2 linked regions of the Oryctolagus cuniculus genome follow. The protein of the gene in region 2 interacts with the protein of the main gene of each other region in a biochemical or structural test. Links are inferred from orthologs where the notes say so. Each region holds a gene or a part of one and is shown on either strand. Other genes may lie near its edges.

What was found.
Region 1: the proteins of BCL2L1 (region 2) and BMF interact in a test that uses a peptide from one of them, tested with the Homo sapiens proteins (2 studies listed by BioGRID). The link is inferred for Oryctolagus cuniculus from reciprocal best matches to the Homo sapiens genes BCL2L1 and BMF.

What each region holds. Positions count from the first base shown.
Region 1 is NC_091443.1:63,241,749-63,245,388, reverse strand, and holds part of BMF (bcl-2-modifying factor), read left to right. Parts: coding exon 1-72; intron 73-1,530; coding exon 1,531-1,691; intron 1,692-3,640. UniProt on the Homo sapiens protein: May play a role in apoptosis. Isoform 1 seems to be the main initiator.
Region 2 is NC_091442.1:25,992,969-25,997,210, reverse strand, and holds the start of BCL2L1 (bcl-2-like protein 1), read right to left. Parts: upstream 2,814-4,242; coding exon 2,250-2,813; intron 1-2,249. UniProt on the Homo sapiens protein: Potent inhibitor of cell death. Inhibits activation of caspases. Appears to regulate cell death by blocking the voltage-dependent anion channel (VDAC) by binding to it and preventing the release of the caspase activator, CYC1, from the mitochondrial membrane.

The DNA.
Region 1 (3,640 bases), on a different chromosome or scaffold from region 2:
GCCCCGCCTCCCCGAGCCAAGGGGTCATGCTGCCTTGTGGGGTGACCGAGGAACCCCAGCGACTCTTTTATGGTAAGTGCTCTTAGCCTCAGGACTCCTCCTATAGAGGTTGGGGGAAAAGAGGGGACTTTCCCTGCCCAAGCCTGCCTTTGTGATTTCCTTCCCCTAAGTCCCACTGAGCAGCAGGGGCTGCTGAGTGCTGCTGGATGCTAAAGTCCCTGCCTTTTGCTACCCGCACCTGGACAAATGGCCCTGTCCTTTCTGTCCCTTCCTGGAAGGATCCCTTGGATCCAGGTGTCTCTTTTTACATCCTGCACCACTCCCCACCCCCACCCCCACCCCCACCTTTTTGTGTCCTGGTAGGGATTTACTTTGTCCCAAAGAAATCTGTGGGATCCATGACTCGCTGTTGACACTGAAGGGGAAAACCCAGCTGGTTCCAGGAGGGAAGGTTCCTGAAGGCAGAAAGTGGCCCCAGTGGTCACTTGGGACTTTCTGTGCCTGGAAGGGGAACTGGAGAAAGAGGTTGGGCCTGCCTGGGCTCCGTGCCAGCAGAGGGGCTGTGTCCAAGGCAAAGTCAGACAAGACCCCTTCATTTGTGGGCTCGAATGATTTGTTTTAGGGAGAAATATGCCCTCCTCCGGCAAAAGAGCAGCCTGTTCTTAGCACAGCAGCTTACGCGGGAGGGTGGAGGTTTGGGGGTTATCTCGCTGTGTCTGACGGGCCAGGCTGCGGAGACGCTGCAGTTATTCCCAGAGGGAACTGCCCCGTAGGGCGATTCTTGCCAAGCAGTTCTGGCGGCACTCAGAAGCTGGATGACGCCGGCCGGCGGGCGGGCGCGGAGGAGGGCGAGGCGGGGGAGGCGGCCGGCTGGCGCCCCTAGCGGTGGTACTAAGGCCAGCATGCGGTAAGGGTGCAGCTCCGGCCTCGCGGTCTCCGCCCCCCCCCCCCCCCCCCCCCCCGCCACCTCCGAGGCCGCTTCCAGAGAGAAACTTGGATCTGTTTGGGTCTCAGGAGTTTGTGCCACTGCCCACAGGGTCAGAAGCCTCCTCTACAGCTCTCCTCTACTGCGTTGAAAAAGTGAAGACATTTTTCACAGTTCTCTCTGTCCCTGGCTGTGCTCAGCCCGGGAAACTCTGGAGAGCTGCCTGCAGTGCTGTTCCAGGGAAGAGCTTCAACCTGCTACTCTGAGAATAATAAATTGTGGTCAAGTGTAGGTTGATAAATACGGACAGAAGGTTTACATGTTCACCCAGTCTGCCCTTTGCCACTGCCCTGACGGTGAATGGGGAGCCCATTGGACGGCTGTGACTGCTCCCTTCTGTTCCCCCAGCATCAGCTTCTATGCACTTGGGCAGCAGGCAAGCAGGCTGTCCGAGCTTGGCAGAGCTCCCTGGTGGAGGCAAACTGGCTCCTCTCCCTTCCCATACTGGGGTTTACCCTCAGCCCCAAGGCTTGGCCAGGAGAGGCAGGCGTGGAGGGCGGGGCAGGCGAGAAGACCGCTTAGAGCTGGGTCCTTTTTCTTTGCAGGCAATGCTGGCTACCGGCTCCCTCTCCCTGCCAGTTTCCCTGCAAACTTCGCGCTGGGGGAGCAGCCCCCTGAAGGGCAGTGGCAGCATCGAGCAGAGGTCCAGATTGCTCGGAAGCTTCAGTGCATTGCTGACCAGTTCCACCGGCTTCATTTACAGCAAGTAGGCACAGGGCTCTAGGGGGCGGGTAGGGCGCGAGGGGCCTAGGAGCCAGCGCCTGTCTCTGTCCTCCTATCGGCAGCTCTGGCTCTGCTGGGCCTCAAGGGCATGGTGGCAGAGTGTTAGCCTCGGCTGTCATCATCCCCACGGACAGTTTAGGCTGATCAGATGAGCACTGCTGCCCTCATCTCTCTCTGGTCTCCAAGTTGGTTGCCTGCCCATTCCCTCCCTGGGAAGGCGATGGCTCTCTCCTGAAGGCCAGCGCTGGGGGACTGTGTCTCGCAGACCTAAGGAGAGGTTTGCCAGGTGCTGTTGGGGGTGCAAGGGGATGGGGTGAGCCGGCCAGGGGATGGGGCCTGAGCGGGGGAAGGTGGCGGAACCGGTTGAAACCTGACACTTCCCAGCTGGGGAGGCCGCTCCTCACTCACTGTCTGTCTGGGATCCTGGGGCTGGGGCCTCAGGAGAGTGCACCTCCGATAGAGTCTCCCCAGAGCCGCGGCCGGCCGCTTGGCCGGGCGCTCTGCCGCCGCCGGCTGCTTGGCCGGCAGCCTGGCACCAGCCCCGCCAGGGCGGAGCATCGCGTGTCAGCCGAGCATGTGGCAGGGTCGGTCAACAAAGGCGGCGGCTGGCAGGCTCGTGCTGGAGGAGCCCTCCGTGCCACAGCCTGGAGGCTGCCCTGGGCCGCTGCTGCAGCACTGTCTGGGTCCGGCCCCCAGGCACTTAACCCTTTCCTTCCCGGCTGGCTCTCCGTAGGCTACCCTGCAGGGATCAGAGCCTGAGGGTGGATCCCTGCTGGTACAAGCACTGCAGAGGCAGGACCACTCCACCTGGACACGAAGGCACTCCCCATCCCTGGGACAGTGTTCCTGGCCAGTGGGCACTCTGTGTGTGTGTGTGTGTGTCTGGAAATCAAGAGTATAAATAACTCACCATCACCAGGCAGACCCTGAGGTTGCATGGGGGATTTTAGGTGACAGGGGAGTAACAAGTTTGATTTAGGAGCCAAACCATTGCTAGCACCAGGAGGGGGAGAAGAGGCATTGGCCTTGGATTTTCTGAGAGCAAGCCCAGGGGGTTGTGTGGTTCTGCTCGCTGCCGAGCAGCACTGAGGGAAACCTGGGGCTAGCCCTCACTGCGCCCGCCTGGTGGGCCGGCTGGTCCCTCAGTGATCAGGAAGGGAGGGTGGCCCTACACTTACATTATAAGGCAGCCTGGCCGCCTCTTCTGGCCCAAGCTGCAGTCCCTCTTCCCTCCTTTGATTGTTTTGTGGAAACTTGGCTTCGAGTTTCCCCTTCAGCCCTTGTGTGTGGACTCACTCTGATTCTTGGTTTCAGTCTCTTGGCCTCTTTCCTGCCCATTCACTCCACCCTGGTTGTGCAGGCCTGCAGCTGCGTGCGCCTGAGCCCAGCTCCCGGCTTGCAGTCCTGGGACCCACAGTGGCTGTGAGTCTCCTGGGCTCAACGGCAGGACTGTGCATGCAGCTTTCCCCCGCATAGTCTCCCGCTCTCCCTCCGCAGCTGTTTCCTGGAGCGTTCCCCTCCCTAGTCCTTGGTGAGCCCCTGGGGGCTTAGGAGCAGGTGGGAGGCCTCCCTTGGCCTGCCGTGTCCTGGTGTGGGACTGGAACACAGTCCCGGGAGGAGGAGACCCCTGTCCTGCACTTCTCTGCTTGGCGTTATTTCTCCCCATCAGGTCAGTTCCTGACAGGCACCGTCCTCTCTGCCAGAGCCACCCCAGCTCTGCCCTGCACCTCACCCATGCCGGCTCTTGCGTTCCTGGTGCCAGCTCCCTGCGGCTGCCTTGCAGCGGCAGGAGGTCGGCCAGTAAGGCCTTCCTGGCCCAAGGAGCTGGTTTTCCAAAATTTTCTCTGACAAAGAACCAGACTTTTTGTCTACTCCCTGGAGAATTCTCTAGAAAAGACTCTAGCTGTTAACCCACTCCTGCCCCCTAATTCT
Region 2 (4,242 bases):
TAATACATAGGAGGGTCTCCGTAAAGGCTAATTTCCTTCCCTTTCCTGTGACGATGCCAAATTTAGACAACATCCGTCGGCAGGCAGAGTGGCCCGTAACTCCTACGCTCAGGGATCCCTCAGCTGAGGCCTCCAGGCTGAGCTGCTACTGCAGTAGCCAGTCACTGCTGCTCAGAGCAGGGTGGCACCTTTCCCGGCTCGCTCGGAGGGCTCTGACTCAAATGTTCTTCACCCACTGGTCTCAGGGGAAGAACACACTCCCAGGAATGGTTCTGACACAACTCGCTCTTCTACACACGTCCTCTGTGTTCACTAAGAGGAAGCGACGTGTGTGTGTGAGTGTGAGTGTGACTGTGTGTGTGTGTGTGGTATGTTGTCCAACGGGCTCTGACATTTTTCAACGAGGCGATGGGAGGTGGAATTTCCATCCAGTGGCGGGCGAATGGACGGGCCCAGGCCTGCTGGGTTTTAGACCTTTTTCACCCGCAACGCTGGGTTGCTGGCAATTCTCTGATTGGGACGGCCCTCTGCAGACTGGCTGGCAGACCAGGCACCTCTCCCAACCTGCCTTTTGTTTATAGCTGGCCACAACTCACCTGGTATTAGGACCACTGGCCAGAGACAGTGGTCAAGGCAAAGTGGGCAACTGGCCCACGTCCCTCCACAGAGATGCCTCCGAGGGTGTGTCTGTAGTACTGGAATCCTGGAATCAGCTGAACAAATATTTGCCCCCAAAGAGAATCAAAGCAGGAGGGACCAGGAGAGGTCATCACACAAAACCCAACAGGAACTGTTTAATCATTTATCCCCCAGGGAGTTCATTTACAGAATGGCTTTTCAAGTCTATCAGCCTTAGCTCCAGGGAGCCTCCGGCCTCTACCACCCCCACCCCCACCCCCACCCCCACCCCCACCCCGTCGCCTACTGACTTGACCCCCTAGCCTTTTTCAAGAGCCTGCTGAGGAGATGAGCTGAAGTTGCAAAGAAACGGGAAACGAGCCAGGGGGTGGGGTTCCAGGAGAAACTCAGGAGGTTTGGCTCCACGGTAAAACCGAGTGCCGGCCACGCCCCGGCCCAGCCCACGACAATCACATTCCTGGCATTCCTGAGTCCAGGTGCGCGGCCCTTCCACCTCTGCTCCCTCAATGGATGACTTATTCCCCACAGCCTGTGGATTTTCTGCATTTTCTGAGGGAACAGAATGCCTGTGTTCCGCACCTCCCCTGGGCAGGGAGACCAGCAAGGAAACAGGACCAACCCCGCCTGCAGTGACCACTGGTGCAAAAGGTCCCTCCACCACCTCCTCGTGACTCAGGGACGGAGAGAGACACCTCCCTGTCTGGACTGGGAGCTCCCTGGCGTCCCTCACTCTGCTCACGCCACCTCCAAGGCTTCCAGGACTCTGCGAGACCAGGCGAGCTGGCCACGTTTCCCAGTGCAGGAAACTGAGGCTCAAGAAAGTAAAGAGCCTGTCCAAGGTCACACAGCTGGCCAAGAGAGAGGGCTGGCGCTCCCACTCACGTCCAAAGTCTGACACCAAATCTCAATGGCCCACAGAGCCCCACAGACTGACTTCTTGCCTTGCCAGCCGGCCAGTCAGAGGCAGAGCAGCTGGAGCTCCTCACCCCACCCCAGGCAGCGAGTGAGGTGCAAAGTCCTGGGGCTTAAAGCGTGACACAGCAAGAGCTCCACAAACAGGCCAACCGTGCAGAAAGTTGCAAGCTGTGTGCAGCACCAACTCAGGAGGTGCAGCACCAACACGAGTGGCACAGCCCACGCTGACCTAGAATCGGACAATTCCGAACCCACCAAGCCACTGGGGGGAACTCCTGCTTGGCCACATAAGAAAACTCTGAAATAAAGGGAAGGAAGCCCAGGTCAGGACGGCCAGTCCTGGAGAAGAAAGGACGCAGCGACTTGTGGGTCCCCGGCACGCCACCACCTGCTCCAGACATTCTGCTTGTCACCCTTTCAAAGCATGGAGAGCCACTGCTCCAGAGTGAGGGGGGCACTGGACCAACCCCCCACTCACAGATCAACACCTCAGCTATTCTGTGCTGAGAAACTGGAAAATAAGCATGGAAGATCAGGGTCATGAGGGTGCCCAGATGGAAAGAACCAGGTCTGGTGCTGAAATGGGGCCAGTGCCTCCAACAGTCATCTAACTAGCAGAAGCTGCAGGGAAAGGCTGCTGGGGGTCCTCTGACAGAGGCCAAAGCACAGGGACAAATGAGGGGTGTGGTTCTTACCCAGCCGCCGTTCTCCTGGATCCAGGGCTCCAGGTGATCATTCAGGTAAGTGGCCATCCACGCCGCGATCCGACTCACCAATACCTCCATCTCCTTGTCCACGCTTTCCACGCACAGTGCCCCGCCGAAGGAGAAAAAGGCCACAATGCGGCCCCAGTTCACCCCATCCCGGAAGAGTTCGTTCACTACTTGTTCAAAGCTCTGATATGCTGTCCCTGGGGTGATGTGGAGCTGGGATGTCAGGTCGCTGAATGCCCGCCGGTACCGCAGTTCAAACTCGTCGCCTGCCTCCCTCAGAGCCTGCTTCACTGCTGTCATGGGGATCACCTCCCGGGCATCCAAACTGCTGCTGTGGCCAGTGGCTCCGTTCACCGCGGGGCTGTCCGCCGGGTGCCAGGCTGGGTTGCCATTGATGGCACTGGGGGTCTCCATCTCTGGTCCAGTCCCTTCCGGGGCCTCAGTCCTGTTCTCTTCCACATCGCTAAACTGACTCCAGCTGTATCCTTTCTGCGAAAGCTTGTAGGAGAGAAAGTCAACCACCAGCTCCCGGTTGCTCTGAGACATTTTTATAATAGGGATGGGCTCAACCAGTCCATTGTCCAGAACACCTGCTCAGGGATTCTCTTCTGTGATCCAAAGCCAAAATAAGGCTCTGAAGGGAGAAAAAGAGCTTTAGGGAAAGAAAAAAAATTAGTATAAATGCCATTTCCCCCCGCAACATCCCCTTCCCCTTCCAGGTACCAAAACTCGTTTCTTTGTGGCTCCTATGAAGGTCTGGGTCTAGGTTCCACGAGACTTCAATGAAGTCAAATTGTAAGCACCACTGGGCTCTGAATCATCCCACTGGCCTCTTTTATCCCAGCCACCCCTTTTTCTCCGAAACGCTGTCCTCGGAAAGTCACCCCATGGGCAGTCCCCCCACCACCACCCGCCGCCCCCGCACCACCTACATTCAATTCCGTCTAAGCCGGCGACAGCAGGCAGGTGCACCCCCGTAAGATCTTTTGTATCATAGGTCGGGAGAGGAGGTGGCGGCAGGCCGGGATGCCGGTAACTCAGCCGGCTTCGCGGCGGCTGGCGAAACAAACAGCTCCGGCCGGAGGGATCATGCGACCCGGCAGGCTGGGCGCCCAGAAGGCGACACAGGAATTGCGACGCTCAGGAACCAGCCCGCTTGCTGGCTTGCTCCTCCATTGCCGGGATCCAGGGCCGCCGCTCCGCTCCGCTCCGCGCCCGCGGCCTCTAGCCACCCGGGAGCCCAGCCCCCTCGCTCTCGCACGCCCCTTGGCTCTCCGCCTCCTACTGGGAGCCAGGAGAACTCTCCCGGAGGTGGCTGCTGTAGGCTTAAGGTTTTTCTTTCTTTCTTTTTTTTTTTTTCCTCCTTCACTCCGGTCTATTTAAGTACCAGCCCTGGGGGAGGTTCCCGAAACCCTGAAGGGACTTCTCAATGGGGCTCAGGGTTTCGATGAGGGACGCGGGGAGGAGAAAGCTGCCTCCGATCTGCCATCTGACTCCGGGAAGGCCACCCCCGGGCCTTTCCGGGAAGCTGAAGGCCGGAGACCCCCAATAAACGCCGCTGATTTTCTTTGAATTCCCCAAAGGCCCTGAACGTGGCGGTGGGGGATTGCCAGGTCCTCCATTCCCCGCCCGGATACAATGGCCGCCGGCGCCCTGCACAAAGACGGGGTGAGGGGGAGGCGCTGGGCCTCTTCTCGGGTCGGGAAGAGGGGTCGAGGCCTGCTTGAGGCCCCCCACGGCTGAGACCACGTTTTCCTAGGGACAGGCCCAAGGCGGCTTCTGGGAGCCCCAAGAGGGCTCGGAGGCCGGGGGCTGAACCTCTCCGGAGCCCGGGGTGGGTGGGCTGCGGCCTTGAGGCTTCTCCCGCTCGCTAGGCCGGGTACCCGCCGAGCCACCGCCCCGTTGCTAGGCAACCACCCTCCCTCAGGGGCGCCCCCTAGACCTTTCTGGGAGGAGGGGTCTAGCCCCCGGCGGC